2 linked regions of the Rattus norvegicus genome follow. The protein of the gene in region 1 purifies or fractionates together with the protein of each later gene. This does not show direct contact. Links are inferred from orthologs where the notes say so. Each region holds a gene or a part of one and is shown on either strand. Other genes may lie near its edges.

Region 1 (3,812 bases):
CAAGCTTTTCTACTCTCCTAAGTGTCTCAGGGTTAAAACTGGCTTCAGAGTCAGTCTGTAAGGGCCCGCGGAGAAGAGAAAACGAAAAGGAAAGTGAGTCTCAGGGAAACAGCAGCGAAAGTAAGTGCCTGGTTTGGGTGCCTCGTGCAGGAGAGCCACAGAGAGCACGCAGAGGGAGGAATATATTGATACATTGTAAAGGTCTGAAGAATTAGTCTTCGTTCAGCCGGACTCAGTTAGTCTATTTGGATAATCCAAATTGCGCTGCCCCTGCCTCTACAAAAGACATGCAAAATCCATTTGCAGATGACTCCTCCCACCTGAAGGACACAGGTGTGGCCACACCGAAGCCCGTGCTGCCCAGAAACTGTAGTGTCCCCAGTCCAGCCCAGGTCTCCCTACTTGCAGCCCAGCCTACTTCCTAGTGCCTCAAATCACTACATGTGTTTTTCTTTTGTAAAAATTACTCATTTAGGATCTAGAGACATGGCTCGGTGGGTAAAGTGCCTGCCAGAATTTGGATCCCCAGAAGCTTATGAGAATGCTAGGCGAGTGTGGTGGCCTGCTCAGGTCCTGGGAGGCAGAGGCAGGCTCCCCTGAGCAAACTGGCTGCTTAGACTAACCAAGTCAGTGAGCTCTGAGGAAATAGAAGCTACCACAGCAGATAAGGTGGACATGGATGGCAAAAGATACCCTTCGTCAACTTCTGGTCCCTTCACGAGTACACACGTGCACATACACATGTGTACCCACACGTGCAAAGACACACACACACGTACACATATATCACACACATGTACATATTCAAATAAACTAGCTCATTATTCATAAATAGGTAAATACATACAATAAGATATTTTAAGAGACCTACAAAAGAATACCCACTGACTAAAATCTTCAGTGCCATTGGTTTGTAAAATCAGATGATTTCCCCTAAACAATGAAATAGTCACCACATTGACTGATGCCCTCTTCCGATTTCCTTCCCCTTCCATCCAGCATTCTAAACCACTAACCCATAAATGTGCAAAATATGCTGAATTTAATTTGGAAAAATTTCAAACCTCTACAAAAGAATAATGTAGCAAACACTTTACTGCCGTGGACCAGTCCTTCATGGGTTACTGAATTTATCTGATCCTTTCCAATAATAAAGGGTATTATATACTGCCCATGTGTATGTGGCTTGTGTGTGAGTACGCGTGTGTGTGTATGTGCACACGCGCGTGTGTGTGTGTGCACACGCATGTGTGCATGTGTGCATGTGTTTGCCCAAGACCAGAGGTTGACATTGAGGTGTCATCCCTCCACTTGATGTTTTGAGCCAGAGTCTCACTGTGTCTGGAGCTCACTGGCGAGACTGGCTACAAAAAAAAAAAAAAAAAGCATCTCCACATCTTTTTTGTTTCCTCGTCGTTTTCGATTGCTGTTGCTGCCTTTCTTATGAAGTGAATTCTTTGTCCTGACCAGAGCTCTTCAGATGCGGCGTACCTGGCAAGGCATGTGGGTTTACGAGTGGGAGTCCCGACGGAGACTGGGGCCCTCACCCTCAACAGACTCTGTGGCTCTGGTTTCCAGTCCATCGTGAGCGGATGTCAGGTAAGGACAGCCTCCTTACCTACCCTCTGAGTGGGCCGATAGTTATTTGAAGAACTGCTCCCCCTTGATAGGGAGTTTGATTCCTCGGTGCCTCCAGGTAATTAACCCAGACATAGTGTAATGGGTGAGCTATTTTCACACTGGTCTCTGTGGCAACATACTTTAAAAGAGGCTCCATGCCCTCCCAGAATTAACTTTAAACACAGTGCCAGCCTCCAGGAAGTTCATTGCTTGTATCTTTTCCGAGAGTTAGAAAGAAAGAGGTGGGAAAATGAAGTGGATCTCTTTATGAGTCTCCTAGTTTACCAGTTCCATTACTAAGACTGCCCCCCCATGCAGTTTTTGTGACTTTTAGATTGATGTGCCCTTTATTGTATGTTTAAGCCAGAGATTAGCATCTCTCTGGGTTTCCCAGATTCTTACTAAAGTAAGAATTACTATACTTAGAGCTGGGTGTGGCTCAGAGTTTAGGAGGCTGAGGTGAAGGCTTGCTACCCATCCCCAGCCAAGGTGAGCTACAGAATGAGACCCTGACGAAGAATAGGCAAAACAGGTAAGGCATGCTACTCCGGCACACGCAGGGAGGGCTGTTCACCCTACCCGCCCGTGTCTTTAAGTAGATTCTTTTACATCAGCCCTTCAGCAGCGTTATACATTTCTTTTTAGGTTACTGTAAATTAAGACCCAGTATTTGTTTAAATCACCACTAACTCATAAAGTCTTCGTATTTCTCAACTCGTACTCTGGATACAGTAGAAGGAATTGTGTTGTCTGCTTTTCAACAGGAAATCTGCTCGAAAGACGCTGAGGTCGTCTTATGTGGAGGAACCGAGAGCATGAGCCAGTCCCCCTACTCTGTCAGAAATGTGCGCTTCGGAACCAAATTTGGGTTAGATCTCAAGGTTTGGACCTTTAACTTTCTTTTCTTTTTTTTTTTTTTTCTTTTTTTTTTTTTCGGAGCTGGGGACCAAACCCAGGGCCTTGCGCTTGTTAGGCAAGCGCTCTACCACTGAGCTAAATCCCCAACTGGACCTTTAACTTTCTTAAATTATATGTTTATATAAATAATTTTCTATTTATATAAATTCTTCAATGTATATAAATAATTTTAATAACGTAACTTTTTAAGGGAGAAAAGAGTAATCTTGAACCCAGCTCTGTTCATGGAATACCACCAAGACTTGCATGGTTTAAAATTTACAGGCTATCAAAACTCATTAGTTTTAGTGTTTGAATCCACACAGGATTATACTTCACATGTCAAAGAAAACATAGGGAATGCGGAGGAAGAAGAGAAATAGATTCGTGAGAGATCTTAGTGACAGGACTTTTGCTGTGGATTGTGGGAGTTCAGCTTCTGGGGCTGTGTCTGCTGACTAGGTTTCGTCGTTATAGAAAATGCTGCATGTGCATACATCTATTTGATCAACTGTCCAGAAAATAGCCTGACCCACCACCCGTGAGAGCTGTCCGGTGAGAGCTGTCCGTAGGAACAGCATCTGTGAGGAAGGAGGATAGTGCATTGCCCTACTCACAGGAAAGGGCTAATGGCGTCCTCTGTTTCTCAGCATGATCCAGAGGCTGGTGACGGCTCAGTAAGAGCGCCTGCTGTGCAAACAGGAGGACCTGAGGCCAGGTCCCCAGCACCCACATACAAAGGTGGGCGTGGCTGTACTGATCTCTAACCTGGTGTTGGGGAATGGAGACAGGCAGATCCCTGGAATACTCTGGCAAGCCCCCCTAGCTAAAACAGAGCCCCCACTTCAGTGAGAGACCTGTCTTAAAGGCATAAAGTAGAAGGCAGTAGGGAAAGCCGTCCGAAGTCCTCTTCTGGCCTCTGTTTGTGCACACACCTCCTCACACTCACATACACAAGACGCATACCACACACGAATGCACACGATAAAAATAATGTAAATGAAGAGTTGTTTTGTAGAAAGAGAACCTTGTAATAGGTTCACCCACTGTCTCACAAGGTCTTTTGGAAACGAAGAAAACGAGACCTTAGAGAGCTCAGGTATTTCAGACACTGTATGTACTTAAAAACTCTCTGCTAAGACAGCAACATGGGAGTGTGGGCAGCGTCAAGGGGGACATCACTCCCAGGTGATGCCTGTCACTCTCGTCTATGCCTCAGTGACTGTCTCTGGTATTCTCAGTCTAATATTAACAAACAGAGCCACCCGCACCTGTCACTGAAGGGCGGGCAGGGC
Region 2 (4,439 bases), on another chromosome or scaffold:
CTATCTCAAAAATAAAGGAAAAAAATAAAACAAGTAAAACAGAAGCAGCGGGGTGTGGCCTACGGTGCACTGAGGCTCCACAATGAGCACCGGAGCCAGGGGGACCACAATGGGAACACAGGGCACACACACCAGGACCCACAGACTGTCCAATAAAAACAGACTTTAATAGATGACTACTGCTCAAAATGCTATTACTCTTCACGAACTCTGACTGAAATGTCCTCAGCGTCCTAGAATTATGACCACCCAAGAGTATACCATTGTGGGCCAGCAAGATGGCTGGCTGGCTCAGTGTGGGAGGCAGTTGTTGGACAAGCCTGGTGTCCCAAGCTTGAAGAACTTGGGGACCAGAGCAAAGGCTGAAGAGAACTGACTCCACATAGTTGTCCTCTGACCTGCACTTGCATGCTCCCATGACCTCACGCTATAGTAATAAAAATAAACCCTTGGGTCAGTGGGAAAGCTCAGCAGGTAGAGGCCCCTGCCACCAAGCCTAAGTTCTTTCCATAACCATATGGTGGAGGTAGAGGACCAACTCCCACAGAAAAGTCCCTGTGACTTCCACATACGAGGTGTCATGCTTGCCCCACCACAAATACTAAATAAATAAAACTGTGGTTTGGTTTGGTTTGTTTTTTTTTTTTTGTTTTTTTTTTTGGTTCTTTTTTTCGGAGCTGGGGACCGAACCCAGGGCCTTGTGCTTCCTAGGTAAGCGCTCTACCACTGAGCTAAATCCCCAGCCCCTTGGTTTGGTTTTAAAACAGGAGCTAGTGAGATGGCTCAAGGGTTAAGAGCACTGGCTGCTTTTGCAGAGGACCTGAGTTCAATTCCCAGCAACCACATGGCAGCTCACAATTGACTATAAACTCCAATTCCAAGGAATCTGTCTGACTCTCTTCTGTCCTCCCCAGGAACTGTATATGGTGCAGTTACACACTCAGGCAAAACACTCATTCGTATAAAATAAAATGAAAAAAAATAAAATAAAAGCTTTCTAGAAAAACATAGCTTGGTAGTGCTGGTACCCCTCGCCTTTAATCCCAGCAGTCAGGAGGTGGAGGCAGGCGGATGGATCTCTGTGAGTTTGAGGCCAGCTTGGTCTATCTACAGGGCGAGTTTCAGGACGGCCTAGGCTATACAGAGAAACCCTGCCTTGAAAAACTAAGACCAAAATACTATTCCATAAGTGCCAGTCGAGCCAGCCAAGACTGAAACATTTAAGCATTTTATCAGAGCGGGTCACTTTGTACCCAGAAAGTGAAAATCAACATGGCAGAAGTGAGACAGGGAGAGGGAGGGACGGACACAAGCTCTGAGTTGTCAGCGGCATCTGAGAACGGAGCTGGCCTTACTAGTTTCTCGATGAAATCATCCACTGCTTGCCCAGCCTTCACGAGCAGTATGACCCGGCGGGGCTTCTTCAGCTTGGAGACCATGTCCTTTAAGGACTTAGCACCAATCACTTTGGTTCCTTTCGCCTCCTTGGCCAAGAAGTCATCAACTTTGGAGACGGTCCTATTGAAAGCACAGACCTGGAGGACAAAAGGCCTGTCAGAGGACCCGGCACACACCTGACCCTCAGGTGGCAGATCCAGCAACAGAGAGAGGTCTATTCTGTCCAATTCTAGAGAGCTGACCTGCCTTCTCTTTTTAAGTGCCAGATGAAAGTGCCCTGCAAAGTTCTGTCACAGCAGAGAACAGAGGGAAAGGCCCTTTGCCACTTGTTGCTTATCAAGTTGAGCCTGTCACTACTGCCCGGTCCTTTATCCCTGGTAATCCTGGCACCTAAGACATGCTACTATTTAGAAAGGACATTCAGAGCCCATTAGCAGGAGGATCCTCTAGCCCTGGACTCAGAAGGCTGAGATGGGAGGACGCTGAGTCCCCAGGGTAGCAACACTGGGAGATGAGATGCACAGAAAATGAAAACTCTCATCTTCACTTACCCCAAGTCTTGCTAGTCAACTGAGCTAGAGCCTCCAGGATCCGGGTCCTTTCCATCTGTGGTTCTCCGGCCTTCCTAATGCTGCAACCGTTTAACAGACATCGCACATCGTGATGACCCCCCCCAATCATAAAACTATTTTTGTAACTACTCCATAACTGTAATTCTGCTAGTGTTATAAACCGTAATGTTGAGAACCACTGCTTTTATATTTACTTCTATCCAAAGAGGCTCTTCCTTTAACTACAGAGACAGCACAACTAAAGCAGAAATTCTTCTACAAAGACCAGTAAGCAACAACAGGGCTTACTGAGGGAGAAGCTGCATCAGATCCCTTGAGATTCTCTGAAAAACAAATGACCAATCGCAAGGGGAAGGCGACGTGTCCTCAGTACTTACCACAAACCCATGATCATTCATGTTCAAAATTAAGTTCTGGCCCATGACAGCCAGTCCAATCAGTGCAATGTCAGCTCTGAAATGCCAGAAGGAAAAAAAAAAAAACAAAGAAAAGATATTAGTGTTAGTTGGTCGCTTTTAGGAGGACAGGTAGCCTGCACCCTTTTCTTCTGTGCACGCACCACATACACCTGGGATCGGCCGCACCCTGCACCTCACTGTTCCAAGGAAGTTCCTTTTAAAGGGCGTCCGGGCACACGAAGCCACTAATGCCCTGCCCCTGCCCCGTAATTCCTGATGGCCTGGCCAGCAGAAGGGGCGTGGGCCGTACCCCACACAGAGCGGATTCCTTCCCTCGACTCCCTCGCAGCCGCAAGCCCAAGAAGGGGCGGCCGAGTTTGCGCTGCCCAAGGCGGGGATCCTGAGGTGCAGGGGTCAGGGCTGAGCAAGGAGACCCAGGCGACCCCCGGGATTGAGGAGAGCAGGGATACGACTGAGTAGAGCCCCGACATCACCACGCTCAGCTCCGGAAGTCTCCCCGGCCCAACTGCGCGTGTGGGTCACTCACTGGGCCATGGCGGCGGTAGACAGAGCAGATCCGAGGAGGAAGAAACACGAAAAGACTGAGCGCTCCGGAGAAAGTGCTGTGAACTCCGGCTCCCGGCGCCTCAAGAGGCTTACTGAGACACCGGCCAATCAGAAGCCAGAGGTGGGGCGATGCCCACACCCTACTGGCTCTCTGCAGCGCCTGTTATACCACCTGAGGGCAAACGGACCCGCCCACCCCCGGGGCCAGATCTGTAGAGCGCCGAGTAGTCGATGGCACCTTGAGCAGGAGAGGAGCATTTAAAGGGATTTTGTAAGTGTTGTAACGGAACCAGGACACGATCTCTCTCGCCGGTGCGGGAGCTCGGGTCTGCAGCTCCGCCATGAAAGAGAAGACTCTGGGTTTGGTGTATCGCTAATGCTGTAACTCCGGTTAGACCACACATTACAATTTACCAAGCCCACAGGCGCGCTTGATCCCTGTTTCAACTCTGAGACAAGAATCAAGTCTGTCCTACCTGTGGGAACCCAAAGTGGTCAGTGTGCACCATTTCTGCAGATCGAGAAACAACAGTGCACACTAAGGCCCAAGAAGTGAGCCACGCGGGTGGAAGTAAATCCCATTCCACAAAGTTGGCTTCTGATCTCCACTGCAGCAGTGGCGCGAGCGCCCACACGCACAGAATGAGAAAAAGAAGAACGGAGGGGAGGCTCGAGGGTTTTTTGGTTTTCGTAATTATTTATTTTATGTGTATGTGTTTGCCTGCATGTATGTCCGTGTACCTCGTGCGTGGTTGGTGCTCGGGAGGTCAAGAAGAGGGCGTCGAATCACCTGGTAACAAAACTGGAATAAAGTTATTTATTGTAAATGTAGTGGAACACAAGTACTCATCTCTACCCTGTTTCCTCAGCCCCACTACATTGTAAATACTGAGTTTCTGGCTCCGGAGTAGGTCTGGAGTGCTGTTTTGCCTGCTGGTCCAACACCTTTTAGTTTCAATTTACTTTCCCACTCAGACTCAGGCGTTGGTGTGTTGCATCTAAACCCCTCTCTCTCCCTACGAGTGTTTATCATGACCTTCAATGAATTCCCTTTATCTTTTGTACGTTTTGCACACATAGGCATAATACTTGATGTCAAATGAAAAGATTGGTTTGTACCAGCTTCTTGGATTTTTTTTTCTCACTCCAGTATTATGAATCAAACCGTACGTTTTGAGCATTATAGGCTAGTGCTTTGCCCTTGAGCCACATCCCTTGCCCTGCCCTAAATGACTTTCTGTTTCTCTCTGTCTGTCTCTGTCTCTGTCTCTGTCTCTGTCTCTGTCTCTGTCTCTCTCTCTCTCTCTCTCTCTCTCTCTCTCTCTCTCTCTTTTCTGTCTTTCTGATAGGTACCTGATGTCCCCACTCCTCCCTCAAATTTGCCTTAGCTCTGAGCTGGTCAGACCATTATTTCCAGAACAAGGGAGTACCAGGTAGAGCTTCCCCTGGAAGATTTTTTTTTTTCTTTTTTTTCAGAGCTGGGGACCGAACCCAGGGCCTTGCG

What was found.
Region 2: the proteins of Acaa2 (region 1) and Pgd fractionate together in Homo sapiens (co-fractionation; 3 studies listed by BioGRID). This does not show direct contact. The link is inferred for Rattus norvegicus from reciprocal best matches to the Homo sapiens genes ACAA2 and PGD.

Annotation. Positions count from the first base shown.
Region 1 is NC_086036.1:70,630,082-70,633,893, forward strand, and holds part of Acaa2 (3-ketoacyl-CoA thiolase, mitochondrial), read left to right. Parts: intron 1-1,470; coding exon 1,471-1,599; intron 1,600-2,384; coding exon 2,385-2,501; intron 2,502-3,812. UniProt on the Homo sapiens protein: In the production of energy from fats, this is one of the enzymes that catalyzes the last step of the mitochondrial beta-oxidation pathway, an aerobic process breaking down fatty acids into acetyl-CoA.
Region 2 is NC_086023.1:164,879,017-164,883,455, forward strand, and holds the start of Pgd (6-phosphogluconate dehydrogenase, decarboxylating), read right to left. Parts: upstream 3,014-4,439; 5' UTR 2,924-3,013; coding exon 2,916-2,923; intron 2,424-2,915; coding exon 2,348-2,423; intron 1,536-2,347; coding exon 1,356-1,535; intron 1-1,355. UniProt on the Homo sapiens protein: Catalyzes the oxidative decarboxylation of 6-phosphogluconate to ribulose 5-phosphate and CO(2), with concomitant reduction of NADP to NADPH.